2 linked regions of the Astyanax mexicanus genome follow. The protein of the gene in region 2 interacts with the protein of the main gene of each other region in a pairwise test. Links are inferred from orthologs where the notes say so. Each region holds a gene or a part of one and is shown on either strand. Other genes may lie near its edges.

Region 1 (16,714 bases), about 41 Mb from region 2:
TTCAGCTGACCCCTGCTTCAGCTCGAGCAGAGTTGCCGGGAGAGCGGAAGAGAAAGTGAGAGAGAGACAGAGAGAAAGATAAAAAGAGGGAGAGATAGAAAGAGAAAGAGATGGGAAAAAAGCGAGAGAGTCGGAGGGAGAGATACACACAGAAGATAGTCTGAGCAAGTCCTGGACAAAAATCTCCAGCCTGCTTTCCCTTTAACACTTGAAAGTAATCAATCTAGCCTGCTACATGATACTTACGGCCCGCCTCTCTCACAAACCCCCACCCATTTCTCCCCCTCTTCCAATCAAAGACTGTCCGCTCTCGCGTCTATTGGCTTGGCTGACCGTCCACCGGCTGTGTAATTCCACCTCCCCCCTCCTTTTCCTCACCCTCGGTCTACTCCACCCCTTTTCACTGAGAGTCAACTTCCTGTTTTAAGTTACCTTGAGCAGTAGGATAGGGGTCAGGGAATGAAAAAAGGAACAGAGAGAAAAGAACAGGCAAAAGGAGAAAGTGGGGGGAGAAAAAAAAAGGACACGGGGTAAAGGACAGCCTCTGCCTTCTAGCCTTAAAACTCTCCCCCTCGCTACCTCCCTGCAAATCTCTTCTGCTGCCGGAGCTGGACTGAACAACTGGCTCTACTAACAACTGTCCCTTGCTTATTTACAATGTCAAACAAAATGTCTCTACAGCCCGCCCCTCCGAGGAGCACAGTGGCCGACTCGGCGCTGATGCAAATCACCTCCAGAGCAGCCATTGGCTCAGAGGGGTGTCAAGGAACATGCCGCATGCTGTCGCCGGATGATTTAAAGTGGAATGTCATACAGGGCAGATTTGCAGGCACATACATGTGCAAGGACATCCGTGCTCTAAAGGTGCAGGCAATGTGCAGTTTATTGGTGAGGATTAAAGCATTAGCACAAGACTACGTGTATGATGTTTTGCCGTTAAGAAATCAGGAAATACACTGACCAGCAAAGGTGACCTTAAGTCATTCAGCCTAAATACGCTGACAGTTGTCAAAGGCAGGAACAGACAAACACAATTGACCAGAGTTTAAAACTATAAAACAAACCAAAAAAAAGAGATGTTTTCTGTATTATGAATAAACTATAACATTACATAGTTGTGAACAAAAATACCAACATCTCATATGAATTAGGATATTATGAGTATAGAAAATCTCATGCAGCAGTTTTAATAATGTAGACAGATGCACCACTTACGCAAAGCTCAATTATGTGTGCAAAAGGGTACAGTACGGTAATTCATGAATCACATTTCAGATGACCTCACTTCTCACCCAAGCTGACTAGGTCACAATCACACAATTTATAGAAATGGCAGCAGGTAAAAGCAGTAGATGGTATTTTTGCTTTCAAAGATGCAGGGGATGGTGGAATGACCTCAAGGTTATTCCTGTCATTACAGCAAATCCCCACTGTTCTGAGAAACTAAACAGCAGGATGGAACACACACAGACCTGCATATTCAGGGAGAGATGGGGGAGGGGGCAGAGATGGAGGGTACGAACAGAGGTTGTGTTCTACAGGATCAAAATGTACAAGAAAAAAAAAAAAGCAGAGTGAAAGAGCAGGTCACCAACGAGCTTGACTGAGGCGAAGCATTACTGATTTCAAGCGTTTTGGACACACAGTACACTGGTAAATGATTACATAGCAGCAAGGCACAGGAGATTATGGAACAGCTGGCCAAAATGCCATGGCTGCATTCTCTCACTGCTACCTGCAACACCATCACGACCCCTGCTGAGGGCAGTGACTAGATTTCTCCCTCATGCTTGTTATGCTTAGCCCAAAATGCAGCGTTATGAGTAGCTTACAAATATGAGACAAGTTATCCATGTATGCAATTAATTTAATAAATAAGATCTGGCCATCACTGATTCTTGTAGTAGCTCTTCTGTGTACCTAACCAAACTTAAATATGTAGGGCGTTAAGAAAACCATTTTTCCCAAATTCTCTCATCTCGATAAATAAATACATACAACTAAATGCATTTTTTAAAATGCACATCAACACATCTATAAATGCATAGTTTAAATTAGTCATTTTTCCATAGGAGGGCAGAATTGGTACTCTGGTGCTTGCATTGCTTTGATGCACATCCTTTGAAAATGAGTGAAGTATGCCTGCGAAAAATAAGCATGTCTGCAGCTACAAAATGCATGTATAAACCACCATATGCAATGTAACCTACTGTAACAAACTCCCAGCTAAATGAATTACAAAGCTTCTAATGGTTTATTTTTTACACAATATGGACTCCTCTAAGCAACTGTCTAAAGAAAAGTTCTGAAAATGAAAATAAAATCAATGCCCACAAAAAGACAATATGCATTTCCAGCTTGTGGTAAGTATAGTGCAAATAATAAGAATCAGCAGTTCATGGTCACGATGTGATATAAAACAAAAATGTATATATGACCACCAATAACCAGCAAAAAACATTAGGGTAATCATTAAAAACTAAAATCTTACCTGCAACTTGATCAAATATAAGCAATTATATAAGAACACAGACTAGCCAGACGAGTTTTGAAAGTTTAAACAGTGGTCTGGTATATCAAACATCACTAGGAACAACCGTGACTGTGCTGGGAAATTTGCTGTGTGAACAGCAAAGGTGGATGGATATGTGGGAAGCTGTTTACTAAATAATCCATAAAAAAATGCAGCTGAGTGAAATGGGACCTAATTAACCTCAAACTGAGCTGGATATATCTCACATAACTGCGCAACACTGGGTTAAACAGGATAACTAACAAAAAAGGTAGCCTATTTCCTAAAAAAGCTCTGTAGATGATTTGAGTGCAAAACCTCCCTTTACACCAGTCACTGGTTTTAAAAATTAAACAGTATGTCTGCAACTGCGCCCTGGATAAGGCTTACAAAAGTAAGCATTACAAAAGTTTTAACAGACATCTTAACAGGTTATGACCAAGTCAGATCAAGGTGCACTATCATGAGAGTCATGGTTTCCAGGCATGCCATTCAACTGCCACAGAGGACCTCACTTCCTGTGTTACAGCAACATTCACTGTCTTTGGGTAATGTGGTTAGAAACAGCGGCTGAAATATTAAATGCACTGTGTCACTCAGCACAGACTGTTCAGCTGGTTTTATATCCATGAGAAAGCAATATAATGCCCAACATGCTACGACTGGAATTAATTCACTGCAAATAGGCTAAGTAGAGTTTACTAGATAAATGAGATCAGGAAGTACATAATCCTTTGTAGTAAATTACAAAGGCTTTCCATTAAGTAAAGTCCTGGCTTGGAGGCTGGGCTGAAGAGCTTGTTTTAATTGCATCTGATTATTCTGGATTAAGGTGACGAGCACCATGACAAATCATATCCCCAAATATGCCTACTGGAGCTGTACAGCATCACTAGTTATCGTTATTACATTCTGCAGAGTCCGTTTACACCGATATTATCATACATAAAGTATGTGAAGGAGGCTCCTTATATTCCTAATTTAAGGCAAATTTCCATGACCATACAATTTTTAAAACATGAGTGCAGACATGGACAATAAAACCAAAAATCAACTAAACCTATAATATAATATTATATGATATAATATATTTATAGTAGGCCTAAAAATGGATCAGACTAAATTACTGAATTAACTTCGAGCTGATGTATTTGTAGCTCAAAATAGATTTTCTCTGCTGACAAATGGAAACAAAAAGATTTGTAGATCAAATTTCCATGACTTTTCCATTTTCTTTTTTTATTTTTCCAAAACTTATCCAGGACTGAAAATTGCCATTCCATTACTTTTCCAGGTTTTTCATGACCATATGAACCATGTAAAGTAATCTAATTTGTGGTGCAATTAAAAGGATTATGCATAATATAACCTCTATATTTTATCATTGAAAAGATTGGCATTACTTTGTGGGAGATCCAAAACTAGCCTGAATCTTCTGAATACTTTTAGTGCAATAAAAGGAAAAGTGATTACATTTTGTGCAGATGTTACATTTTTGTCACAGGTAGTTAATTTCATTGTTTTTTTAGACATGCACAGCAATGTTAACTATTTGAAAAATCAGCATTTATTTAATGTACTCTGTAGTGAACCACAGGCTCCATACTTAGTAAGCACAGAGATGAGTAAGGTGAAATGATTTTATTCAGAACTGTGAATGTGAGTTAGACTGAGAGCTGTCAGGAGAAGAAGTACTGAAGGTTTGGGCAGTAGAGCCAGAAAATGAAAGGTCAAAAACTTCTTGTATCTTGTGGTGATTCCAGTTTTTTTGGAAATTAGAGTACACAGTTACTGTAACCAGTAACTTGAACACAAACACAGTGCCCCTGAATAAACCCTACTTTCTGAGACCAAGCAAGACTTGATTTATATGTTATAGTAACTTTGGAAATGTTTGATTTTATTGCATGTGGCATATGGCAGATTTAATGAACCAAAGTCCTAACTGAGATTTACTGCAGATCATCAATAATGTCACGATACTAACAATGCACTCCATATATCCAGAAATGAAGTAAAATAAATAATACTGTACAAATAGAATCTGTCTCTAGCAGGTACTTAATGGGAAATTAGAAGTGTGAATTTTCCTTTTGCTACAAAGAGCAATTGTTTTACCCTGATGGTCCATATGGTGCTAAAATATACGACTATATATCAGGGTATTTTTGAAATATTTTTGCTCACGTTACGATATGACATCTGTTATGCTGCTCAAAAGTACCTATAGCTTTGATCCCAATGATCAGTCTGTCATTTGATAACTAATATCCACAGTTTTCCTTCATAGAGGGTTAACTAGCTAAGGCTACATATTATAAATATATAACTTATATATATGGTTAGTTAACTACTAACCTATCACTAGCTAACGCTAGCTATTTTGGCACAGACATTAACTAGCTAGTTAATAAGTTAGCAAGCTATGTACAAACAAATGTTTACCGCGGGAAAGCACGAAAATTAAAGTTCTTACAGCCTGTTTGATGGAGTATTTGCATGTTTTTTTGTTTTATGTTGTTTTTTTTAAACAGTGTAAAGTGATGCTATAACCAAATATGTAATATTTGTGCTCGCCGTAACACAAACCCACATGACCATTAGCGTTAGCCTGCTAACACCAATCTAAGCTAAACTATGTTAGCTAGAAATCGTTTAATAAATATAACCCTGTAATGAAAGTGAATGGCAGCGCGGCTTCTGGCTCAGCAGTAACACAGTGTAGTTACTGTAAGCCAGTATGATCACTAGCCTTATGAACGCCGGCGGACAGCGTGTTAATGTGCGTTTTAAACAGGAGCTGGTGAAAGTTTGGAGACAATGCTCGCTATTATCAGCAGGCCGCGAGTATCTTGTTTGTGGACTAAAAGCGGAGCGATGCGTCCAGTCACACATCCAGCAGCCCCACGCTAAAGTGTCTTAAAATATTTGTAAAGCGCTGTAAAGACATACTAACCAATAAAGACTACGTTTGGATCTGTCCTTCAGACCAATCAAACCCCGGACTAGATTCCACCAATCAAGCTTTCTAAGGGCTGGCGAGTTGAAAACCAACGCCATTCGGGCTCAACACAAAGCCCGCGTTCAACCGGCCGCAGCGGAGCCCGGAGCCAATATGGCGGATAGTGGCCGCCAGTTTCCCGACCGCCTCCATTCCTCTCCACTAGCCACCAATAAGCGCCTCAGAGAGCGAGGAGGGAAATGGCGCCCATGTTCATCCTCCAAAACAATCATTGGATGAGGCCGTTCATTGGCCGAGGGCTCTCTCATGACCTCCGCCTAATCTAACCCCAACCCGCCATTAAAACCGAGCCGGAGCGGCGCGTCGCGTCCCGCTGTTGTACTCACTCTCGGTGATGAACCCGTACAGCAGTCCTGTAGTCCTGTAGTCAGTCCTCTTCAGCGCTATTTTAATTTAATTCAGGGTGATACAGGAGCCAAGATGGCCGACGCTTTGACAACTTCTTTTCAAACCGGAATAAGTGTTACGTTTACCGTGACGTTCAAAACAGAAACCCACCTGTAAAGCGCGCAGTCCACCTGTATTCCGGCAAGCCCCGCCCTCCGCCGTTACGATTGGCTCGGCGAGAGCAGCCCGCTCATTTCAACTGTGCATATTTACACAATAATAAAAAAATAATTATAATAAATAATAATTATAATCTTTATTTATACAGTACTTTTCATACACAAGTGCAACCCAAAGTGCTTTACACAAAAAAAATATACACATGAAAATGCTAATTTAAATAAAAATGTTTTAATACTCTTTTTAAAAATGTGTAAAGATGAAATGGCTTTGCGTTCCAAAGGTTTGGGCCATAATAGCTAAAAGCAGCTTCCCCAAATCTCAACCAAGTTTTGTGAATTACCAGTAAATTACTGTGGATTGTTGTCTTTTTTTAAGGGATGAAAGACCCTTCCTGCATATTCAGCAATTTATAATGTTAATTTAATGTGATATTCATTAATTTTTACAAACATATATAGCTGAGGCAAAGCTAATGCTTTCTACCCTGTCATTGTAAATTATAAGGAAATTAAAATGTATATTTGAAACTGAACAATGTCACCATGAACTCTATTGGTGATTTCAAATGGTGAATTCCAATGATCATCCACATTTTTATTACAATCCACCCTGTTGTGCAGCTTTATTTTTGATAGTCAAATGTTAATGCATATTTAGTAGTAATAGTAATAAAGATGTATATGCCTAAAGTGAATGTTCAAAAAAACTTCACTAGATGTACTCGATTGATTTTCTTTACCAATTTAATGGTTTTTCATGCAAACATGGTTTCCCTACCAAAAAAAACAAAACAGCCTGGGTAGAAGTTTGATGGTTTAGCTGGTCTACAAGTTCAGTTGATGCATGATCAAACTGCCCAAGCTAAACCGTATAATCAAGCATGACCCAGGGTACGAGGCTGGGGACAAAAGATGAGGGACAGAATCACTTAGCATTATTTATTAAAATAGCAGATTTATGGGAAAGACAACAGTGTGCTCCAAAATCCTTAAATACATTATATGGTGAAATGTGGACACCAATTATTTTAAAGTACTGGCTATCAGTACTCATTATGGAGATCTACCTTCCTGCATTTTGACATGTACAGTCAACAAGTGAAAAAACATGAAGTAAAAAAAGGTAATATGGTCTCAGTAATGGTACATAAAAATACATTTTCTTTCGACCGGCATCTACTTCCTCCTTTTATGTTTTCAGCTTCAGCTACGCTGTGTCCTGCAGTAGTAGGTGTCCTTTTTTTGCTGTCACTGCAAATCTGGTGGTTTAAACCATGTTAGATAAGTTTGAACACATTCATTTCTCCATGGCTCATTCAACAACTAAAACTCCTCCCAGTAATGTGTCTCAGTCCTTTCGGAAAGCGTTTTTTTTTTTTTTTTTTTACAGTACTTGGTCCCTCAGTCAAACTTATGAAATCCTCAAGTGACGCATGTAAACATCCTGGGTGTGTAGCAGGGCAGTTTGTGAATGTGTGCATCTGACCCCATTTACCAAAAGCCAATTTACAAAGCTGAACAAAATGATGAAACATGTTGTGAAATTGTCATTGTGATGTGTTGCTTTGGGATTTAAACCTTAAAAGATTTACAGAAGTTTTGTGACCTTGATCACGATCAGAAGAATCATTAATGGGCTGCTCAATATAACTGATCCAATTATTTTGAATCAATATTCAAAACTGGGTCTGGGCTCTTATGGGATAATTATTTTCATACTCATTATTAGGAGTCAGAAAGTCTGCATTTTCCCCCCCAATGTTAACACTGAACAACTCGGCCAGAAAGAAAATTGACATGAGGAATTAAGGAAAGAGACAGAAGGATTTTAGGAACAAAAATTTATTTTTTCTGGTATTTTCTGCAACAACAATTCTCTTTTAGATTCAGCCAACAATTCAAAAAGATCAAAACAACTACAAATGCAATATACAATCCAATCAGAACAGAAAAGAACTATGTCTGTTATTCATTTCTAATAGACATGACACATTTATAATTAACCGTTACACAAAATAAGCAAATACAAATCTATGTACATTACACTTAGGAATCCTTTCAGATTCAGTTTCGTGACACAAGCTCCAAGAGAGTGGAAGCCAGCTTTTCCAGACTGGAGGGGGGTGGTGCTGGTGGTGGAGACGATGATGGATGAAATGGATCGTAGAGTTCTGTACTTGGATCTACGTGGTAATGAGGCATATGCGCTTGGTTCTCGCCATATGCCTGATCTTCTCTGAGCGACCTGGTTTTCCAATGGCCCTCTGAAAAGATAAGTGTGAAACAAAATTGGGATTTGATCAGCTTTTAAATTTTCTTTTCGACCCTTTATTTCTTCTAAGATTTAGACAATAAATATACGCAAAGTATAAAATATTCTAAACAGACATCGAACTAGAAGAAACTAGAACTGCTCATCAGCCTACCTTGATAAGCTTTTCTTTCAGCATCTGGATGATAATCCTTGAACTCATCAGACCGACCAGTCGATCTATTTCTTTGTGCACCCCATTCAAATTCATGCTGAGCATCAACGCGTCTGAAGTCACGATCGCCATGTCTTCCCAATACTGCTCCTTCAAATTGTTGTTCGTAACTTCTGTTTTCTTCAGTACCCCCGGTGTGTCTCATGCTCTGAAAGATTCTGGGGTCCTCTTCGACATGTCCTGCTCTTGAGCTCTCTTTAAAACTGCTGGCCTGCCGGTATGCTGAAAAATGATCTTCAAAATGTCCCGCTTGCTGAACATCCCTGGAGTTGTCACATAACCCTCTTTCCTGTTGAAAAGCCATACGATTTTCTCCAAATTGGCCACCGTGTTGAAAATCTCTGGGATTGTCCTTGAACCTTCTTGCCTGTGGGAAATCTGATTGAGAGTCTGCATAAGGTCTTGATTCTTGAAAATCTGTAGAACGATTTTCATATCTTGTATCAGGTCTCTGGTCTTCAACATATCTTGGGTCCTGAACATCTCTGGTATTTTTCTCTGGCCATGGCCATGTCTCTTTAACGCCCGTGGAATCATTTGTTAAATTTCTAAGATCACGGTCATATCTTGCGGACTCTCTTATCTCCTGCGCGTTCCTCCGCTGATCCATCCATACGTCACTCCTGTACTCTCTGTCACTTGGAGAGACCTGGGATGTGTTTGAGGAGTGGAAAAAAAGATTTAGAATTTATAAGATAAACCTTATTTTAGAGTAGTGAAAAGACAAGGATCCAGTTCAAACCTCAGAACGCTGAGATTTATTCGCATGAAACTGCTTCAGAACATCGCACAACTTTTGCTTCAAGAAGTTAGCCTCTTCTGCACTGTCAATTTGGACCCCATCCTTAAAAAAAAAAAAAAAAGTAAAAACACAAAACAATGACAGTAATTATTTGTTTAATCGTCTACACTTACCAGCACGTCCAAAACATTTTCCGAGTTCACAGCAGTGTGCATCGAATCTAAAGCCCTTCTTTCTTCAAATACCTGTATAGACATTTTTGATATGATATTAGGACCAAAAAAAAAAAAAACAAATACACTTAAGGACCTTTGGCCAAATGACTTTTGTCATTTTGTACTTGTAGTTGTTAGAGCATCTGAGGCCAACAAAACATAAAAAACAACAAACCAACATGCCAAATGTCACTGGGCAGAAGTTAATATGACTTCTGCCACATAAGCAACACAAGTGACCCGGTGGATCAAATAATGTTAAATACCAACAGACAGTCAGAACGTCTACATTACTGTTGAGTATTTACAACAAAGTTTAGCAAAGTGTTGTTTATGCAGTACTTTAATGGACGAGTCATAAGATGCAAACCTTGCCTGTAATCTAATCACAAGAACGTGATGGCAAGAAATCTCATTAATAGATGTTCAACGCACGCACGCACAATGATCTAGTGAGTACACATGCTTGGAGCAGTGACAACTTTCCATTAAACACACCTGAACTGGGCCTCTACTTTGATTCATGGGTGGAAATGTGCCTTCTTTAAACCTGAAAAAAATATATATACATTGGAAATCTTAAGTACAAGGGTTATCAAAGTGAATCATAAAAGATACAAAACTAGCACATATAACTTTACATATTAAAAAAAAATATGAAGTTTGTTAAATTATGTAAAAATCATGTGTAAATGGAGGTATAGTAAAATATGATGAGTAGAAACTTTTGTCACACAGCCCACCTCTGATCACCCGCAGCATTCTGAAATGCAACACTTTTTGCAAATACTCCCAACAGGCTTACAATGCTGGTGACAGGTGCAAAGAAACGGCTATTTTCACACCATTAACAAAGAAAATAAAAAAGTTTATTAAAAAAAGTGGCGATGTCTTTGCATGGGCAATGCTATGCCCCCATCACCAGCACTGTAAGCCTGTTGGGAGCATCGGCTAAAAGTGCTGTATTTCAGAATGCTGGGGGTGAATGGAGGTGGGCTACTCCACAAAAGTTTACACTTATCATATTTTACTACACCATTTTCACCTCTACAAGTTGATTTCACACTGGATTTCTTCTTTAAAACATGCTCCATTCTTTGATAGATTGCCATCAATTGGAAATAGACATTACCTCCTCTGTGCAAGCTCAACCTCCTTTGGTGTGGCATCAGAAAATCTACTCTCCCTTTTCTTTTTGTGTGGGACATGTTCCTGAGCATAATCTCCCATACCACCCCTTTTGGCATATTCCTGCATCTCATAGGTTCCAGCTCTTGCTTCTCTTATCATAGTTTGGAGATAGTCTGTTCCTTTCTCCATATTCTGAAAGCTTCTGCCAGGTCTTTGCATCTCCTCCATACTATGTCCTCTTCCATCACGTGACGCGTACATCTGACCACGAACCTGTCCGACCATTTCTTCTGGGTGCTGAGCTGGACCACTCCTGTCTGTGTCAGCAAACCTGCTTCTTGGAACACCGCCATGATAGAGATCCTGCTGTACAACTCCACTCGAGTTCCACCCTCTTCTGGGATCCATTTCTGGGTAGTACTGATCCTGATGCTCATTGCGATAAGAGCTCCCTGGAATTGCCTTGTCTAGATGGTGTCTTCCACTACCATCACCCTCTACAAAAGACCTTACACTACCATCTCCTTCAAGATATGGTAATTTTTCTTTGTAGCCTTCATTTTGATAAGGTCTTGGTCTGCCATCTTGATAATATGCATTTTCAGGTCGGTCAGTGTTTGGATAAGCTTGCCATAGAGCTGCATCACCTCTGGGACGATCATTCTGGTCATTCCCATGAAATTGAGATGGCTTCCCAAAAACATTGTTTGGAAAATCCGGTTGTCTATATCCATCTGTGGTTAAGTGAGCCTGCCCTCTCCAGTCTTGGCCATAAGATGATGCTTCATATGCGTGAGAATGAGAGCCTTGTGTTGGTTTGGGGCCTGCTGTGATTTAAAAAAAAAAAAAAAAAAAAGGTGTCAAACTGTTATTTTTTTTTTTCAATTAATAATGACAAAGAATAAAAAAAAGGGTTTAAAACTGAGATTTTCAAACTGTGGACTGGTGGTGTTGAGCCATATTGCTATATTAAGCCTAAAGATGACAAATGCTATTGTTTCCAGAAACATACATGTTTCAGCTTAGGTTATTAACATTAAGCTGAGGACTAATACTCCTATTTTCATTCAGTGCACTCACATGCTCACAAATAATAATTATTTCTTGTCCGTTAGCTAATTATTGCTGTTTTTATTTACACACAAAGATTAAACAGAAAAAAGAAATAACTCTTTGCTGTAAAGTTATTGTACGTTTGCACATCACATTTGTTAAAAGTTCTTGTTATCAGATTACTAAGGTCTTTTTAAATGTATTAACAGAAAAACATCAAAATTTCAGCAGTTCATCATTATTATTAAGTGTTTGTAAATGCACTTACTATTGTAATCAAGTCAATGTAAGAGTTTAATATTTTTTGGTTATGTTGTGCGATTACGCACACAAGTGATTTATTACATGCCACACTGAATATTGTTGTGCTTTATATTTGTTTCCATTTTAAATGCAGGAGATACTATGCTTGCTTGAGGTCCTGCAGGATGGAAAAGAATGAAAACTCCTTACCTTGTTTAGCCTGTTTCAGCATTGAACGAGTTACTGGCCGGAATTTCTCTTTGGGTTCTTTGATGGCCTTAAATAAAAACAAACCAGAACATAAACACAAAAATCCAAACTTAAATAGCAAGTATGATTTAATATATTAAATATTGATATTTAATATATCAAAATTTTTTATTTTACACTTTTATATACTGCTTTTTATAACGGATAAAATCAATAATACTGAGAGATGGAGGTGACGTAATATTTCATAGTGAAATATGCCAAACTGAGTATTTACAGAGTTTAAGTAAACCAGTCAGAACAGCTACTTTCATACAATGTGAGCATATTCTATTCTAAATCATCACAGACAAAAATCAAATATTTCATAATTTAATAATTTTTCATTATGATTACGTACCGAAGGAGTACCCCATCCATCTTGCTTCTCCACAATTGCAGCCTTGGCTCTGGCAACAAGCCCCGGTTGCTTCTGTCCCATACCATTGCTTTGGGTCAGCAAGTCTGGCCTCTTCAGTTGCTGTGAAGTTGTGTTACAGGACCCTTTAATACCACTTTGGTTAATTAAAGACTATGTTATAGTCAGTTACTTTACAATACATTAACTGTAGAAAGAAAAAAAAAGAAAAAAACGTGTTCTTAAATCTTACCAGGTATCTATGGCGATGCTTTCGGCTCACAATGTGAGATACCATAGAACACATGATGCCGTCAACATTACACATCTTACACTTATAATTCAAATAGCATCTGCCATCCACAAAAGTATCCTCCTGCTGCACCAAGGAATCCAGTCCTAGAATAACACAGAATGTGAGCATTATGCTATGAGAATGGGTCTTATTTAGACTAAAAACTGGCTGGCAATTAACTGTTGAGTTAAGATTGGCATGTTACAACTCGCAATAAATGGTAGATTTTACGATGCTGTCTTACCAATAATGGGCTCATCAAGTTTCAGGTAGTCCAAGTACTGTAATATATCGGTCCATTCCGGTAGTTGCCGTGGTGGAGGGCCAAGGTCTATTGAATTCCATAAAACAGTCAAGAAACATTGTACAACAGCTTCACTGTGCAGAAAACTGTACATCTGCTTCAGAAATGAACTTACAACACTTCCATTCATTTTTTACATCAAAACAATCATACAGAGTGTAGACCCTGTCACAATAATTACAATACTGATTAATTGTAAATGAACCAAAAATTAGAAAGATAAATTAGCAACTTAGTTGTATAGCATGTATAATATATATTCAAATTCTAATTACTATTGACTTCACATGGGTCAGATATAGAAACCTAAAAGGCTGGATGTGGCCCTGGGGTCATACAATACACAGGTCTGTTTTAGGCTATGTCCGGAACATGGCTATCATGCGAAAAGCAGCCATATTTAAGGATTTAAAGGGATAGTTCGGTATTTTTGACATGAGTCTGTATGGCATCATCATAACCAGTGTCGTGCATCCACACTGACTTACCCCCCACAGTGTCCTGTGAGCCGAGTTCTTGTCCAGTTTAGGTCAAAGCGAAAGTAGTCCGGCATGTTTGCTGGGGTCAGGAAAATAACTCCTTTTTCTTCCCAAAGCAGTACGTGTTCAAAAGAGTGATTTATTTACATCACAAAAAACTAACCCTGCAAAAGTCACGCCTCGTAAATCACTTGGGTCCTACTTTCTCTCATTTCGTATCAGTGCGCATCATTCTGACAGCGAGCTGCGCACGCGTCAACTTGTTCTGTGTTTTGGCAGTGCTTAGCAGCTGTGTTCAGACTAGCAACGCAAACGAGCTAACTTTAGGGAGAAGTCTATTGGCTTTTATAAGCTTTGTAAACACACATATATATATATAGCTAGGTGTGTGTGTGTGTGTGTGTGTGTGTTAAAATGGTACGGACTTGTGACTATCCAGGCTGTAGCAACAAAGATGTGGCTGATTCTCCGCAGAGTTTTCATCGTTTTCCTGTGACTGATGTTGCTCTGAGGAAACTTTGGGTACTAGCGCTGGGCAAAAAAAAGGAAAAAAGTTCTCAACACACCAGCATTCAGGAGTGCAGGGAAGTCACTGTTGTTTGTGATGCAAGCAGCTGCCCCGCTGACATCCTCATCAATGGATAGGTCTTGCATCTCGGGCATAACTAAGTCCCTGCAACAGTAGCATTCCACCTCGGTCTGCATTATTTCGCACTTGAAACAAGTGCACCAGGATTTGTCGGCCACCCTGGGTATCGCAGCTCCAGCAGTGGCTCCAGTTTCATCTTCCACCACTTCTCTGTCCACCCTCTCTCTTTCTGCCCGATCTAATTCCATTTGGCGAAGTTCAACATCTGTATACTTGGGTTCATAATGATATCCCCGTGGCTCTGAGCGGTGATCAATGTTTTCCTCGTCACTCTCGTAGTCAGACATGTTCTCAAGGCGAGAAGTAAACAAAGCGACCCAAACACGTAGGCTAGCTGTCAGGTTGCAGCGCTGCGCGCATTGATATGGAACGAGAGAAAGTAGGACCCAAGTGATTTACGAGGCGTGACTTTTGCAGGGTTAGTTTTTTGTGATGTAAATAAATCACTCTTTTGAACACGTACTGCTTTGGGAAGAAAAAGGAGTTATTTTCCTGACCCCAGCAAACATGCCGGACTACTTTCGCTTTGACCTAAACTGGACAAGAACTCGGCTCACAGGACGCTGTGGGGGGGTAAGTCAGTGTGGATGCACGACACTGGTTATGATGATGCCATACAGACTCATGTCAAAAATACCGAACTATCCCTTTAAGGAGACTTTGTCATTTGCATCACATGTGGTACATGAGGTGGAACAAAATTGTAATGTCACTGTCCAGTTCCACCCAAAAGAGCAATTGTTATGTAGATATAATAAAATAGAATTAAAAAAAAAAATTATGAATGAAATAAATAAGATAGAATTCCCATAATATAAATGGGTAGTAGGGAAACAGGGAAGTAGCAGCAACATAAAACATGCAAAAGTGCATAAGGCACTTTTGCATGTAAAGTGTCAGTTTTGTTTAAATGTGTAATTTGTCCTTGAACGTGTAAGTGGGGTTTGTTCACTAGGTGCAGTTTAAGAGTCTTACAGCTTCTGGAATGAAGCTGTTTCTCAGTCTTGTTGTTTTGCACTTGATGCTCCGCAGCTTTCTGCCTGAGGGGAGCGGGAGAAAAAGTGCGTGTGCTGGGTGGGTGGGATCCTTCCTGATGCAGGTGGCCCTTTTCCTGCATCTGGAGGTGTAGATGTCCGTGGTGCTGTGGAGGCTGACTCCAACAATCCTCTGTGCAGCCTTCACTACCCTCTGCAGAGCTTTCCTGTCTGCAGCAGAGCAGCTTTCATGCCACACATTGATGCTGGAGCACACAACGCTCTCCACCACACATCTGTAGAAGGAGGTGAGAACTGCGCTCCCGAGTCCAGCTCGTCTCAGCCTCCTGAGGAAGTAGAGCCGCTGATGTGCCTTCCAGGCAAGATTGTTACTCAGGTGCACACCCAAGTACCTGTAAGCTGTTAACCACTTCTACCACAGATCCTCCAATGTGCAGGGGGAGGTGGGCATGCTGAAGTCCACAATCATCTCCTTCTTCTTCTTCTTTACATTGATGCAGTACTGTGAATGGCCCACAAGTGTAGATGTAGATACTTTCCAGTCTTGTAGCTGGATGTAGGAATGGACTTGCCTGTTATTTCTGTCTTGGTGAAAACACTCATAATTGCAACAAACTGCATGAGAAAACAGTTGTCATGTGCATGACACAACTGAATCTTAGTCCCAAGTCTTTGCACATCTCCCAGGATCATTTCTGTCAATCTTTGTGGTTCAGAAGATGTTTCCCCACAAACAATCCAAAAAAAATTCATTAAATGTCCATTAGACCAACTGTACATCACAAAGGGCGCTGACAGGCAAAGCAAGTTTTCTTGACAGCTGTCTGGCTGTAGTTGAACATCTGTGACTGACCATTGCCCATGGCTTTTCAGTGTTTCACCACTGGTACTAGTCAGTCACCTGAACAGCAATTGTTCAGTCAATTGAGTATGCTGAACTGGAGTTGATATCTGCACATATACAGAAATGGAAGTGACCCACAGCGGCTCGGGATAAGCAGGTTTGTTTGTCCATCCATTATACTTTGCTTTTCAGTTTTTCTATTCCAAATACAGGCCTCCGTCAACCTCTGGTATGTAGGCCTTGAAGGTGCAGACTGTATGCTTGAAATCTGTACAGTTCTTCAACATCAGCTTGCAAAGTAGAATAAACCTTACGTAGACCAACCGCATAGTTCTGTCAAGCTGAAACTGATGTCAGACCCTCTAAGAAGTCCCAGAAGGTGCGTTTCCTCCAGTAGTCTTGATGTCATGTCCTTGAATTTCAAAAAGGAAAGGCTGGTGGCAACTTACAGCTTACTGGAAAAACTGGACTCTCTGAAAGTTCTGAAACTCTCAGAGACAATCAGAGTAGCCAATATTTTCCAGAAAAGCAAACAAACTTGCCAGTTCCAGGATTCCAAATTTAAATCATTATTTTTAAATATAAATTTGACTTTTGAGCTTTTTTTTGTGCACTTATGGTGTAGATT
Region 2 (16,634 bases):
ATAGAACTCGACCGGGTATCCGTCTAGGCCCGGTGCTTTATTATTGGGCATTTGAGAAATAGCCTGAAAAATTTCAGCAGAGGTTAATGGTAATTCCAATGTGCTAGCCTGTTGTGAGTTAATTTTCGGCAGAGAAAGTGGGTCTAAAAATGATTGTATATCCAATTTATTTGGTCTACAGTAGGATTTATACAGGTTGCTATAAAATGTATAAAATGCTCTATTAATCTCGTGTGGATCGCTTAATATGTTGCCTTTGTCATCTTTAATTGCAGGTATTACCGATTTCTCTTTTTTTTGCTTAAGTTGATCTGCTAAATATTTTCCTGATTTATTACCCTGTGCAAACACGGTTGTGCGCAATCTCTGAATCAAAAATTGATTTCTAGTGTCAATTAAATTATTCAGTTTAAATCTCACTTCCCTTAGCTGTTTTAAAATATGTTCCTTAGGGTTATTAATATAGTCTTTATTTAAACGTTCAAGTTCCTGTTCCAATGAATTTTCAATTTCTTGTTCTTTTTTTTTTTTATACGATGAAAACGAAATAATCTGGCCTCTCAATACAGTTTTTGCTGTTTCCCATAACAAAGTAGGAGAAATGTCTGGTGAATCATTTATTTTAATAAAATATTCCCATTCTTTCTTAAAGAACTCATTAAAATTTGAGTCCTTAAGAAGCGAAATATTAAAACGCCATCTCCCAAAGGATTTCTTCGGTTGAGTACAGAAAAGACTAATGCTTACTGGTGCATGATCTGAAATTATAATTGGGTGGATTTGTGTTTTAACAATATCAGCTACAATAGAATTACTTATAAGAAAAAAATCAATACGTGAGAAGGATTGGTGGTGAGGTGAAAAATATGAGTATTTTTTTGTCAGTGGGTTTTGTAATCTCCAACCGTCACTAAGACCCAAATCATCCATGTATTGTTTTATCATTTCGTTTGAATGCCATATTTTAAAGGAAGGAGAGATATTGGAACGGTCAATGTTGGGATCTAACGCTGTGTTAAAATCCCCTCCAATGATAATTGTTGAGCCTGAATAATTCATTAACTGTGAAAAAAGATGGTGAAAGAATGCTGGGTCATCTTTATTAGGGCCATAGATGCTAGCAATAGTAAAATTTTTGTTATTTATTATTACATTAATAATAACAAAACGCCCCTCTGTGTCTGTTATGGTTGAGTTATGGATTATAGAAATCTCTTTACTGACTAAAATTGCCACACCCCTTTTTTTAGAGTTAAAGGAAGCCCAATAAACATGGTTATAAGATTTATTTTTCAATTTTTCATGTTCAGAATCTGTGAGGTGGGTTTCTTGTAAAAGACAAATATGGGCTTTAAGCTTACTCAGATGACTAAAATTTTTTGTTCTTTTCACTGGTGAATTGATGCCACGAATATTCCAGCTAACAACTTTTATAGTAGACATTATGATATATTATGGATTTTAATACAGCATAATAGGTCATTAGTCGTTGATTAAGGCAGTAGGAAAGTATACTAAGGAAACTCATGATAAATGAGCAAAGAACAGAATCTAACACTGGAGAACCCCCTTTTTTACAAAACTCATTATTTAGAAAATAGATTATTTCTAAATGAAAACACTTAACAGAACAACACATATTTCAAAAATAGCCAAACACCAAGGGTGAAAAACATAGACATTTGTCGTTTGTATGTAGCTTAATGTAGGCTACGGGTGTTATTTAAAGGTTTGTGTTGTATTAAACAATATATAAACAAATTGATATAGCCATGGAGTAGTGTTATATTAAACAATATATATACGGATCAATACAGCCATGGAATAGTGTTATATTAAACAATATATATATATACAGATTAATATAGCCATGGAGTAGTTTCCATATCTCTGTACAGTTTTCCATCAAGATACAGCCTATCTACTGAGACTGTGGCGCGTGTTCCTTTCTTGATGTGTTCTTTTCTGATCTGAAAGAGTACTTTTCTTCTTTCTTGGATTTCCTTAGGGAACTGATCGTTAAGACCAAAATGTGTCCCTTTAAGTTCTCTTCCTTTGCTTTTTACGAGCTCTTTTTGTTTATATCTTTCGAATTTGGCTTGATACAACTGAAGAATTCCTACTTGTTATTTTTCATTTTTGACATACTTACCGGAGCCAGTTCATCTGCCCATTATGTTTATTATCTTGGAGACACAGAGTGCTTTTTGTGACATGTTGGATTATTGATTTCTGAATAAGTTTGGGGAAAATACCTATGTTTTTAATATTGCAATGTACAGCTCTTGAAAAAATGAAGAGACCACTTAAAATTATGCGTTTCTCAGATTTTACTAAATTTAAAAGCTCTGGAATATAATCAAGAGGAAAATGGATGATCACAAGCCATTAAATCAAGCTGAACTGCTTGAATTTTTGCACCAGGAGTGACATAAAGTAATCCAAAAGCAGTGTGTAAGACTGGTGGAGGAGAACATGCCAAGATGCATAGAAACTGTGATTAAAAACCAGAGTTATTCCACCAAATATTGATTTCTGAACTCTTAAAACTTTATAAATATGAACTTGTTTTCTTTGCATTATTTGAGGTCTGAAAACTCTGAAATTTTATTTATTTTCTCCAAATAAAAGCTCTAAATTACAATATTTTCATTAGAAATTTGGAATAAATGTTGGCCTTAGTTTATAGAATAAAACACCAATGTTCATTATACTCTAATTCAGAAACTGAAGTGGTCTCTTATTTTTTTCCAGAGCTGTATAGCAACAAAATATCGCAATATGATGTTTTTCTGCTGTTTACAGCTGTAGGACATACACAGTATATCCTGTTTGACATTACGAGGTAAATATTTTAAACCTTAAAAAGCTGTCACACACTCCTCAATCAGTGGTCTGGGCTTTACTTCAAGTGCACTTTGGTGTGAAGCTATCCGCTCCCAGTGCCATGTGTGTGGTCGTGTAATGGGTTAATTTTGTAACATGCATCAGGATATCCTAATAAAGCACACTGTGATATGATCTCTGTATCGTTGCAGCTCTAGTCCACACTGAAATTGCTAAGTGTGTGACGCTGAGTGCTCCTGGCCCCCACGCCTTCCTGCTGGTGGTCCCGCTTGGACGCTACACAGAGAATGAGAACCGAGCTGCCCGAGAGATGCTCCAGGTGTTTGGGGAAACGGCTCTACAGCGCCACACAGTGGTGCTCTTCACCCGTGGAGATGACCTGGAGGAGGGTGGTGGTGGGATAGAGGGGTTTCTAGGTCGGGAGGAAGTTCCTAGAGAGCTGAGGGATCTGCTGCAGACCTGCGGGGGGCGATACCACGTACTAAACAACAAAGAAATGGGAGATAGAACACAGGTAAATAAATGTAATCATTTTGATGGTGTATTAGATCTGGCTGATGTTAAAAGAACACTGGAAAATTGCATGTATATTCACAAAGAAAGCAAAACTGCTTATTTTACTGCAGTGGTTTTATGATGTCCTGCTTTTGTTCTAAAGGTAAAAATGCTACTCCAGAAGGTGGAGAAGATGGTTCAGGAGAACGAGGGGCGGTTCTACACCAGCGCCATGTTCCAGCAGGCCGAACTCGCCATCCGAGCAGAAGAGGAGAGACTGATGAAAGAGAGAGGACAAGGAGAGGGAGAGGAGGTGGAGAGACCGGATGGAGGGTTAGCGATAGCTAAGAGAAGACGAACGGAGCTGGAGCAGGGCTTGAGACGGAGAGAGGTGGAGGGAAGACATGATGAGGGGGTGGAGGAGAGGGGGAGGGATGGAAGGATGAGTGAAGGGAGCTGGAGGGAGAGAGAGCGGAGGAGAGGAAGCAGGCGCCAGTCACTCCGATTAGCCGTTAGCCGCTTCCGCAGGGAAGCTGCTCTGTCTCAGAAGGTTCTAGACCAGGTGAAGGTGTTGGTTACAGCCGGAGCTACAGGCATGGCAGTGGGAGCGGTGTTTGGAGCTGCTGCCCCTCTGGCTATGGCAGCTGGAGCCTCCATGATGGGCAGCTCGGTGGGGCTGGTCGCAGGGCAGTTTGCTGGGGTGTCTGTGGCAGGGAGCGGGGTGGGAAAGGCTCTTGGCGCGATTGTAGCAGCAGCAACTGGGAAAACAGCGGTAGCCGTGGGGGCTGCTACTGGGGGGCTTCTGGGGGGATCAGTGGGAGCCTTGGCTGGGGCAGAAGCAGCCGGGCCTAGAGAGGCAGCACTGGAAGCTCTAGAACAGGTTGGCACAGTGGGTGCTATAGTGGTGGGCGTGGCTGCAGGAGTTGGTGGGACTTTAGGGGCGGGAGCAGCTATAGGGGCGATGCTTGAGGGTGGGGCTGCAGTCGGAGGAGCAGTTGGCATCGCTAATGCTACGGCTGTCGCTGCACCAAATGCTGTAGTCGCTGGGGGTGCTGCTGCAGAGGGTGCTCTGGCTGCATCGCAGGCTGTTGCCACCGGGGGCGTTGTGCAGACAGTAGGGGGCGCTGCATGCAGCGGTCAGAATGCTTTGGCAGCTAGCAGCGGGCTAACAGGTGCTCTGAACACGGTGGGAACTACAGCACGGATCATCACGGCAGTGACGGAGATCGGAAAGGCAGCGGTGGGAATCGTGGTGGCCGGAGGGCTGGTGGTGAAGGTGGTGAAGGAGAAGGTTCGGTCTGCAGCTGGAAACACGGAGAGACATTCCTACGAGATTTACTGGAACAAATGAGGGACTGTGCTAAAAGACGTAGCCTTGGAGAACAAAACATAGAGATGATGCACTGTCTTAAGCCCTATCAAGACGAGATTAGTTTCTCAGGGGTTCTGAGGTAATTTTCTCTCAGAGGGGGTTCTCTGAGATAATTACAGGCTAAATTATCTACTGTTTTTCACTAAACTCCATGGTCGTCTGGAAACTGTAGTCCTGTCCAGACGCACATCTCCAAGTTTTGTCACTTTTCTGTTTAATAAAATAGCCATTTGTGCGTTTCCGCGGAGATCCACGTAAACACAACAGCGAGTGGAAATGGAGGAGCTACTGAACGCGATGTCATGTGACCGAAAAAGCCAAAAAACTCACTGGCTCCCCCTTTTTTTTATTGCAGTCCGGATGCAAGAGTTTTATCACTGAGTAGAAGTGTGAAATATTTTTCACAGACATCCCCCTGAGAAACTAATCCCCTCCGGATTGGGCTTTAACCTGCTTTTCCATCGCTTTTTAATCGATGCTATCCAACCCCAGTTTTTTAAACTGGGTTCCATTATTAATGCACTTATTATGCCGCAGTAACTAACAGGGGTATGCATTTCAACCAAAATCTGAATTTAATTATTCACCAGATGTTCACCAGAAACTGCTTAATTGTTTAGTTAAGATGAGAACTGAGTGATTCAGAGTGGCGTTTGGTGTAAAATGTTCGGTTCAAGATAATTTTACCCAGTTACAGTAGTATAGTGTAGAGAGGTAGTGAATGGAAGCAGAACATCTGAAGCTGTACAGCTCCTCACATAAAGTTATTGCAACAAACGTATTCTGAGAATTTTCACACAAAAGGTAAAGAGACCCAAATCAAATTTTCTCACCTAATACGATGTTTACTTTTAGGCTGTTCACACTTATCTTTTTGATGTGATCTATACAGTATTTAGTATTTGGACAAATTATTCCTTTACTTTGGTTTCAGCCAAAAACTTGCATTTTGGTGCATTTCTACTATTTTAGTAAAGGGGTTTGCTCTTAAATATTTACCTGAAGCTCATATTTACACTGCACTTCATTTAAAAAACAAAACATCAAAAAATGATTGATTACCGACTCAGACGATCAGTCCAGAACTGGTTGGGTATTAATTACAGTGGGAGTGTGATGTAGAGCAGAACTGGAGCAGATGTGGAGATCAGATGTAAAATGCTGGTGCTGAGTACAGTATTATGTACTGTGGTGACGTGCCTTCAGACGGGTGTGTGTATGCCTCTACTGGAACAGTCTGCTGATCTGAACTCAATAAAGCCTGTTTTTCTGGACCATTGTGTGTGGGTGTGTTCTGATGGCCACTAACTAATTACTGTTATTACTGTATTACTACTCATGCACACACTGGCGTAGGAACCGGGGGGGATGGGTGGGACATGTCCCACCCAATATTGGAAACAGGTGGATTTGTCCCACCCAAAAATGATATCGTTTCGCTCAGATCAGCTGTACTATTAATGAGGAGACAGACCGGACCAATCACGGAGCCGGCTCAGGTATTAAGTCCCGCCTCTCAGTAGAAACAGCCAATCCGTTTTGCGGCTCGCAGAGGACCGGCAGTTTGCTGTTGGGGAAGCCCCGCCCCCTCGCTGTGAGATTTAGCAGCGGGATCGGGACGCAGCTTCAGCTGATTTTAAAACGGATCTGGATATACGGAGATTTTTCTAAAAGAAAAGTAACGATAGGCTAACCACATAAACTGTGATAAGTTTCTGATAGCTGGTTAAAAATACACGACTCTAAATCAGCACACAGATTAAACACACTGTGATTAATAAACTGCAGCTGTGTAAGTGAGTTAGCTTGGAATTAGTTAGATTGGAAGTCAACGTTAAAGAAAAAATAAACTATTTATGTAATGTTCAACTTGCCCTGTACCTGATCAGCTAATCACTATTTCATTTTTAAACTGTCTTTATTAATTTAGGATTAATTTAGCTAACTAGTTGGCTAGAAGCTGGATGTAGAGGATAGCCAGAATGTAGTACAGTACTTTATGTTTGTAGTTTAAAGCAGTTTCTTAACCCTGATCACCGCCCCAAAATTGTGTTTTCCACCTGATCCAGCTGATCAGCTAATAAACAGTCATTTACTGAGTTTACTGAGTTTAATCATGTATATCCAGCAGTGTATTAGACACATCATACCACCACTTACTTTAATAAGTGCCTTTAAAGCAGAGGAAGCTCTAGAATATGTAGAACAGTGTTAATATTCAGTAGAATATGTAAGAACAGGGTTCACAGTAAGGCCACATGTCCTTTATGAAACGTAAAGTTACATTCTTTTACATAAAAGGACACCAATCTTTAGAAGAGCTCTCAGTAGAAAAAAGCGTAGGATTTTTTTTAAAGAGTGGAGAAAATGTAAATATACAACAGAATTGACATGCCAATACATGATTATAATAATAATAATAATAATAATAATAATAACCAAATCTGTTATATTATTTTAAATATTAGGTGATAACTGATCATTTTTGTATGTATATGTATATGCATATTTTTTTCTTACAACAGTAAATGTAATGTGGAGTAACATGTTTAGGTTGTAAAATCACCTTGTTAACTAATAAAAAACAAAATACAGAAAAAAATGATTATTTGTGATTAAAAGTAATTTCCACAAATGTTGTTCTAAGAAACTATTGGGTGGGCTTGGGTTCATATTGGCAAATATGTCCCCCCCAATATCAAACCTGCTCCTACGCCCTTGCATGCACACACACACAACCAGCAGGTGGTTTTCACCCACCCACTCCTGTATATCTCCAGCACAGATAACAGAATTATATTTACTTTTCCTGTTTTATAGCACAGATAACCCTGTGTATTAATAAAATTTAATGGTCAGGGTTTAAACAGGGCTGTACAGGATGTGATGCACATTATAAAACACTAACTTAAGGAAATGAAGCCCTGAGTACATTAATTAATTATACATACAGCTCTGGAAAAAATAAGAGAGCATTTAAAAATTACAAGTTTCTTTGATTTTACCAAATTGAAAACATCACAAGCCATCAAACCGAGCTGAACTGCTTGAATTTTTGCACATGGATTGGCATAGTCATAGTATCCAAAAGCAGTGTGTAAGACTGGTGGAGGAGAACATGCAAAGATGCAGGGTTATTTCACCAAATATTGATTTCTGAACTTGTTTTCTTTGCATTATTTGAGATCTGAAAGCTCTGCATCTTTTTTGTTATTTCAGCCATTTCTCATTTTCTGCAAATAAATGCTCTAAATTACAATATTTTTATTTGGAATTTGGGAGAAATTTTGTCCATAGTTTATGGAATCAAACAACAATGTTTATTTTACTATAAATAGCAAAATCAGAGAAACTGATTCAGAAACTAAATTGGTCTCTTATTTTTTTTTCTACAGATCTATATTGTTAAGACATCACAGAACTCCTTTTTCTTATATTATGTATTGTCTAACAATTAGAACAATTATAATACTTTTATTTCCAATAATATAAACTTACTATTGATGGTAGGAATCTTACAATAAAATGTAAAAATACATGTGTAGTAATCAATTATATTCTTCTGAACCTATAAACCTATTAAAATAATATTTCTGTTGAACATGTACTTCAAGATAAAAAAATACTAATAATGTAAACTTCTTTTTACTGACAATTCTTATAATATGAACCTGAACACTGTTACTCATTTAATATAACCTACTGCTTAAAATATTATGGTGCTATAAAACTTATTAAAATATTATTTGTGTTGAACTTGTGCCCTGTAGAACAATTATTATAAACACACTAAACTTAAAAAAAAAAAAATTATTTTACTATACCTTTATAAACATGCTATTACATAGTGTACGCCTACTATTAATACAAAACTATTATATGTAGCTATAAAACTAATTATACATTTATTGTTACTATATCATATCCTGTTAATATATGGTATTTCTACACTACAACGCTCTAAATCTATTTTTATCTGAATTTATGTTTTTATGAACCTGTTTTAGAGTATTTAGATCTGAGTTAGAATAATGTTTGTGTTTGGAGTTGGCGATGATGTAACACCAACATAACAGAGGAGTAGCTCCGCCCATCCGCCTCAGATACATGAATATTCATGAGATCCCGCTTCAGAGCAATAGGCGAAACCAGAGTAGGCGTGGCCAGCAGTCTGAGGCGGGTCGTATTCAAATCACAAAGCGCCTCTGCTCATCGACGTACTATCAGACCACGGAGCGGCGGGCGCTGTGATTGGTCGACTCTGCCTGGTCTCACTCCGCGGCCGAGCCAATCAGGCGTCCCCGGGGCGCATGACGTCGACGTTGTGGAACAAGATGGCTCCGTTTGTTTTGTGAAGGGGGTTCTGACGGTTCAGCTCAGCGATGCGGACAGGCCCGGTTTGGGGTATTTTGGGGTGTTTTCAGGGTCGGTTTTAAGGCTAAAACACACCCCCACTCCTCAAACACACAGGCAGAGCGGGCACCGCCTCCTCTGCTGCCCGACCCGCCCGGGGAGACACCGGAACCGGGGACGCCGCTGGTATGGACGGCGGAGAGTACCTGTCAGCCATGGAGAACATGGACCCGACCCTGTCCGAGCTGGGGGACGAGTTCACCCTCGGGGATATCGACGGTAAACAGACCGGGCTCTGCTGTGGTCGTGTCTCTAGTGTCTGAGCGCTCTGTGCGCTGTTTAGTGCGTTATATGCTATGTTCTGTGTGTGTAACCGGGGTGTGTACAGTAGTGAGACAGGTCAGTCAGTCAGTCAGATGGTGATAGTAGTAGTAGTAACGTTACTGCATTATCATAGTTTATATACTCACTTATACACTGTGTAGTACACTAAACAACTACAATACACTAAGTGTGTGTGTGTGTGTACAGCCCCCCAAAAGTTTGGGCACATCTTTTTTTCCCCACATTGTAAATTAATATTGAAGTCATCCACACTATAAAGGAACACATAAAAAATAATGTAATAACTTTAAATTGTTAAACAAACCAAAATACCAGGTGGCTCTTATCTGTGATGCTGTTAACTTGCAGTTCCTGAGGCTGGTAACTTATCCTGTGGGGCCCGTCCTAATGAGGGCCAGTTTCATCATGTTTTTGATGGTCTTCAAAGTTCCTGAAATTTTTAAGATTGACTGATGTTTATCATTGACGTTCAATTTTTTAACTTATTATTTTATTCTTTACTTAGTTAAGTAATTATTTTTATAATATGGATTAGAACTATATATGGATTAATTAAGCCAACTCTGCCTCTTTACAACTTTTCGACTGATGCTATCAAACACACTAAGAGGCAAGAAATTTAGGTTATATAATATATACAGGCTAATAGACTTGTTTAGTACCCTAAGCTCTGTATATACAGACTTATTTCCCTAGCTATAATGTACATAATGTATATACGGGCATATAGACTTATATAGTACACCAAAAGTGTATATACAGGCTTATGTTCCTAGCTATAGAGTACACTACAAAGAGTGTTTATACTGGCATATAGTTGTATTATAGTACACTTTACATACTTTTTTGAACACTAGATACTGTTTATACTAGCTTATACATCTAGTAATATAGTACACATAATAGTTACTAATTGTACGGTATACTATACAGTGTACATACTGTCTTGTAGACCAATATAGTACACAACATTTTGTATAAATGGCTTATAGATTTACAGTATAAAGTACACACTTAAGTATATATGCTGGCTTTAACACTTTTAAAGTACACTACATAGAGTGTATAGTGGCTTATACATATTATTATATTCTTCTATAATATTCTTCTCTACATTTTCTCTATATACTATATTATCCTCCTTTTACCCTGTTCTTCAGTGGTCAGGACTGCGACCGTAAGGTGGTGGTGTGTCGGTGTGTGTTTTGCTGGTATGAGTGGGTTAGACACAGCAGTGCAGCGTATCTATTGAAACTCTGTATACAGTATTGACACCTTCCTAAAATAATTTATCAAGTTTTTCAGGAAACACAAAAAAAACTATTTAAAAATGAGCAGTGGTTTAAAATGATAGTTTATCATACAGTCTCGCAGTAGAACCAGAAACAATACTAATTGAAAATTCTGAAAATATTGATTGAAAAGACAGAAAACAATTATGATTTTAACCAGCCACAAATTATAGAGCATTTCTATGTAGCTTTTGGACTTAGCTATTTCGCAGACTAAAATTCAGACAAAAAAAATCAATAATAAGCCTAAACAACAATGCAATATTCATAACCAACATTCTTTAATAATACGAACTACACAATTCTCCTCACTTATCAATTGAGGATGAGCTGTAAATTGTGTAAATTAGTTCAGTAAAGGAGCCTGGTATTGGAAATCTATGAAAATATTATTTTATTTTGACTGAGGCTTAATGAATTAGCTTAAGTCACACTCTTGACACAGGCCATTATCCTAAAGAGGTAGAATCAAATGATATGATCAACTGAGGGTGTAGGCAATTTTACAACATATGGCCATGCAGCAATATTAAGACATGATTTAGACAAAAAAAAAAAGTATTTTTTACAATTTTTTATTATTTTAGGAAGGTGTATAGTGTCAATCATAGGGCATATAACCATAACTCTTACAAAGGGGACATTATAAAGCATATATTGACCACCCATGTGGTCCTTTGTATTGTCTGTCTGTATGTACTGTAGTAGTAGTAGTAGTAGTAACAGTAATATATTGTACAGACAGTAGGCTTTCGTGTTACGGTTGTGCTTTTGTTTGTTCTGTCGACTTTAGCTCCTGACGGGGCTCATTTACCTCAGGGCAGTCGAGCTCAGGCAGATGGGGATGGGGGTCATTAGTGCAGATACAGCAGGTTATTACTCAGTAACTACAGCGGGGTGATGTGTACACTCTTATGCACTCCCAGGAGTGCAGAGATGAAGTGTGTACTGATGTTGGTGTGTGTTTAGCTGTGTGTGTAGACAGTGCACACTTACTGATCTCGGTTTTGAGAGCAGAATTGGGCATGCAGATTTACAGTGTTGATTTTTTGAGTATATTCTCTAAGTTAGACTGCAGGTTGAGTTTAGGCTCACTCTTCGGAAGTGTAGTAGTTTGTACTCACTTTGTCTGGGTGGAGTTAAGATGAAACACACAAAGTCTATCTTTCATATTGGCTTCTGGCAGCATTTATTTGCATATTGGTTGTGTGTAGTCTTGCCAATCAGGGCTATATTTGCTGGGTATTCAGTTATATTTTATATAATGGCTGATTGTCTGTCTACAATGTTTTAGACCATAAGAGCAAGTTACGCTTTTCTTAAATATAAAGTATGACTATAAAGTGGTGTGTCTTTCTCAGAACATCCTTGAACTCAGACGGAGTGCAGGTGTTCAGTTCTTCGGTGCAGGTCTTATCAGATCTGTTATCAAACTTGTCTCACATCTGCTATCAGACAGATAGTGCCACATCAATAAACTCTTGCTAATAATAAAGATGATCACACAGTAGACATTAGTGTATCTGGCCATGTTTTGATGGCACACTTTGATAGAGAACAGTATAATGGAAGGACAGCAGTGTGACCTCGGTTAGTGAGATAGTGGGGCTAATTGATTAGATAGCGTTTGATTATTGCTGCTGTATTACCAGTTCTGACCATAACATTAGTAGTTGGCCTGCAGACGTGTGGAGGCGTGTGGAACGTGTGGTGCATGTGTTCGAGGCTGAAAGTTCAGGGTTAGTGGTGACAACTGATTGTAAGGTTTCTGCGCTCAACTTTGCTTTCTGCTGCCAGAAATTGATAGTAATGCTGTCTAATGTTTAAAAGTCTAAAGTGTAAATAAATGTTTTGGGGTATTATTTAGTGATGCTACTTTACCACTTTCCTACTGTTGAGGTCAGAATGTAGATTACTTTTTACCAGGGCTGTCAATGTTAACGTGTTAACGCACACAATTCTTTTGGAATCAGTAAAGAGTTATTATTTTTAGCGCAAATTAATTAAACCACAAAGTTTGCCCCTGTCGTAACTTCCACCATAATATGCCCCACCTCCAGCCAACATGCAGATTTCATACATACTTTTTAATTGAGCTAAACAGTTTAGTCTGATATATTAGCCAGATGATATACTGCTATTAACAAACGCTGTCTCTGCTGCTCCATGCTGTTTACACATGCAGTAATGTACAGCGTTCACTGCTCGCAGCTGCACTGCACCTGCCATTAAAAATACTGTGTTTAAAAGCTCAGTTACAAATTCTCAGCATTCTGTTTTAAAACAGATTCATACTGCACAGATATATACGCGCTGGAACACAGAATCTTCACGCTATATTTACTTTCTTGCTCCTGCACCAGACAGTTCTGGCCAATCAGAGGAGACAACGTGCTTGCATGGGTTATTGGTGCGCATTTTGGTGCGTTTAGGTTTATACCTGTGTGAAACCAAACCAAACAGAGGGAGATAACGCTCTAAATAAATAAACTGATCAACTGATCTGGACCATGTGTTCGGGGGCTGCTATTTTCATGGAGTGAAAGGTTTTCCAGCCCATGAAAATAGCAGCCCCCAAACACACAGTGGGAATAAAGTCCCTCTGTCTTCCACAGCAGCTAAACTTTGACAGAGCTCCACAGTAACATCTTATGAAAATGCTTGCAGATGCCAGTTACAATTCTGTATGTAAGAGTGTAGATATATCCTCAAATATGTCTTAAGTTTCAGACAAACATCAGCTGTGTTTACCAACAAGGTGAAAACTTTGTAGAGCTTTGCCTCAGCCCTCCACTTTTCATCTAAAAGAAAGTTCTCTAACCAAACTGGGTAAGGAAACAATCCATGTTAATGAATACATTATCTGATTCTGACCCTACTGAGGTAAATTTATTACAAGAGTAGCAGTGCTAAGGTAAATTTGTTACTGGAATAGCTCTAATGAGGTAAATTTGTTTGATTAGTAGTTCTGAGGGTTTTTTTTTTGTTAGAATAGCATTGCCGAGGCAAATATATGACTAAAAACTAATCTGACTAGATTAGCACTAGTAAATTTATGATTAGAATAATTGTATCTGTATTAGTACTACTGAATTAAATGTATAATAATTAGTATTGCACAACTTGGGGAAAATTGTGACTATAAAAGCACTGCTGTGGTAATTGTTTGATTAAAATTGCACTTTTGAGGTTTCCTGTGCTGTACCACAACCATTTGTGCACCTGTTGCACTCAGCAGATCAAGGTCATTCCTCCAGGTGACCTTGGCTGAAGTGGACAAATAGAGGGCAGTAAATCTCCTCTCTCAAGGCCAGAGTGTCGTTTCTGACCTTTCATCAGTTCAGGGATGGTGTAGGTGAAGGTGTGATGCTACTGTGGGCAGGTACCAGCTGTAAATGCCACTCATCTTACCAGCCTTTCTTTTTGCTTAGGAGGAAAATTACAGGTACAGGCATTTAATCAAAAGCAGAACAGTGCTTTATTTAATCAGTTATATATACAGTTGCAAGAAAAAGTATGTAAACCCTTTGGGATTACTTGAATTTCTGCATAAATTGGTCAGTAAATGTGTTTCTGATCATCATCTAAGTCACAACAATAGACAAACACAGTCTGCCTAAACTAATACAAAAAATATATATGTTTGCGTGGTTTTATTGAACACAACATGTTCAATAAGAGTAGGTTTTAAGGAAAATCAGCATCTCAAACCCTGTCAGTGGAGAGGTGGTTCCTTTTTCATCAAGGATGTTGGGCACTCTATTAAAGATTCTCTTACTGTTTATTGAAGTGCACAAGGAAATTTGGCCAGCAGATTTCCAAACGCAGATATTTGATTCGCTCTTCTGATCTTGTCAGCTTTTCATACTTTTCATACTTAGAAACTAGCTCACTGCCATCCTTGCCCACTGATAGGCCAACTGATAGAAATGTACAGTACAATATACAGGACAGTACATTAGCCTTGTCGCTACTTGTTGTCATTGAATACTATAGAGCCAAAAAGACAACTATCACTATTCTAGTGCATATTTCTATTCGCCCACTCTCCGCTTTACGCAAATGTGTGGTGTTTACAGCACGTAGATGTGGACAATGTAATGTCACATTTCCACCCTTTTCTGTTTATTTCTGATCAAATCGGATACATCACTAACCAATATAATTCCTATATTATTGTGCATGCCTACTTTGTCCAATCACAGACTTTCTGTGTAATGAACAGCACTGTGATATCACTTTACACTCTGTGTGGAGGTTTATACTGTGTGCTGTCAGATCACATTACTGTAGCTTAGATCACAGGTTACAGTAATATGGGTGGGGAAGTCAGTGGAGGTGGGAATGTGATATTTCCTGAATGGTCATCAGTGACCCGCTTCAGCACCCTGGTGTGAAAGCAGTGTGTAAGGGTGTGAGGTGTGAGGATGAGGGTGGGAGTGTCTGCATAGTTTACATTCATTCCATCCTCCATGACTATACTCTTTAACACCCCAAACACAATACACAACTGCAAATATTAAATGTAGTATATTTTATGTCTTTAAACTGCAAACAATTAAAAGTAAATGGCAAAACAAATACAAAATAGACTGCTTTCAAGAATATAACAATATCAAGTTTTTATTGTGTCTGAACTTCTGGCAATATTATGACGTACAAAATAAAATGGCACAGCCCTAATACAAAACAGTGACCTATGTCATATTGCATATTTATTCTAAAGCTAAGGCAGGCCCACAATCCTCTCATTTTTCTGGTTGCTAACAACTGGTAAATGTGTCTCTAGATTAGCACTACTGAAATAAATGTACATTTACAATAGCACTGCTGATTTACATTTGTGACTATAATAGCACTGCTTATGTATATTTATCATTAGAATAGCACTGCTGAGGTACATGTATGCTAAAAATAGCACCGCTGAGGTACATTTGTGACAATACTTACACTGCTTAGGTACATTTATGATTAGAATGCCACTAATGAGGTAAATTTATGATTAAAATTGCACTGCTGAGGTAGTAAATGTCACCAGATTAGCACTACTGAGGTTGTATGTATGGTGCTTTATATGTATGGTATGTCTGCTAGAATGCTAAAAACATTGAGTGTTCAATAAATATTTTTAAATTGTAGTTTATCTGTAAATACTTATTGAAAAGCAGAACAAAAATACATTATGCTGTTTAATTTATTAAGTAGCAAATAAAATGAAAACCTGTATGTATTGTTCTGTATGCAGCCTTTGGAAAAAACTTTTTGGTGTCAGACAAAATTTTCCTTTGTATGCATCCCTAGATTATACACACAAACAGCAGTGTGTGTAATCCTCTCTCTCTCTCTCTCTCTCTCTCTCTGTGTAGAGATGCTGCAGTTTGTGAGTAATCAGGCTGATTTTCCGGACCTGTTTGAGGATCAGGTGGGCTCGGTGCCAGTGCAGGCTGGAGTGGTGGCCCCCATTCACTCTTCAGTTCATCTGCCCCCTGCTGGACTCCAGAATAACCCAGTTACTCTCACACCCATTGCCCCTACCCCTGCACCGGCCCCCTTCCTGCCCCTCACACCTCCACACACGCCTGTACAGACCATCACCGCCAGTCAGCAGACTCGCACCCCACCTCTACTGCAGCCACGCCCACAGCCCCAGCAACACATACAGGTACTAACACTGGAAAAATAACAGTCTAATACATGCACACTGCAACTACAACAGCACTGATGACAGCCCCATAAACACACACTGGTACAAATACTTATTGACACAAACACACACCGATACCTATTGATACAAGCAAATATAAATATGTACTTGTACTAACACAATACGTACAATAGTGCTGGTGGTATGACTAAAAATGTATATCACAGTAATTTTTAAGATACTTTACAATATTTAAATGTATTTATTTATTTATATATAAGGTTTA

What was found.
Region 1: the proteins of srebf2 (region 2) and nfyc interact in binary tests that used the Homo sapiens proteins (3 or more experiments, as listed by UniProt). The link is inferred for Astyanax mexicanus from reciprocal best matches to the Homo sapiens genes SREBF2 and NFYC.

The regions. Positions count from the first base shown.
Region 1 is NC_064410.1:49,635,835-49,652,548, reverse strand, and holds the start of nfyc (nuclear transcription factor Y subunit gamma), read right to left. Parts: upstream 6,014-16,714; 5' UTR 5,861-6,013; intron 5,494-5,860; exon of another isoform or gene 5,469-5,493; intron 1-5,468. Other genes in the region: uncharacterized protein si:ch211-13c6.2, read right to left, coding at 8,108-8,307, 8,470-9,178, 9,272-9,373, 9,445-9,516, 9,985-10,036, 10,619-11,444, 12,124-12,190, 12,524-12,643 and 2 more. UniProt on the Homo sapiens protein: Component of the sequence-specific heterotrimeric transcription factor (NF-Y) which specifically recognizes a 5'-CCAAT-3' box motif found in the promoters of its target genes.
Region 2 is NC_064410.1:8,702,772-8,719,405, reverse strand, and holds the start of srebf2 (sterol regulatory element-binding protein 2), read left to right. Parts: upstream 1-9,033; 5' UTR 9,034-9,255; coding exon 9,256-9,346; intron 9,347-16,070; coding exon 16,071-16,366; intron 16,367-16,634. Other genes in the region: uncharacterized protein LOC111188799, read left to right, coding at 3,039-3,361, 3,506-4,693.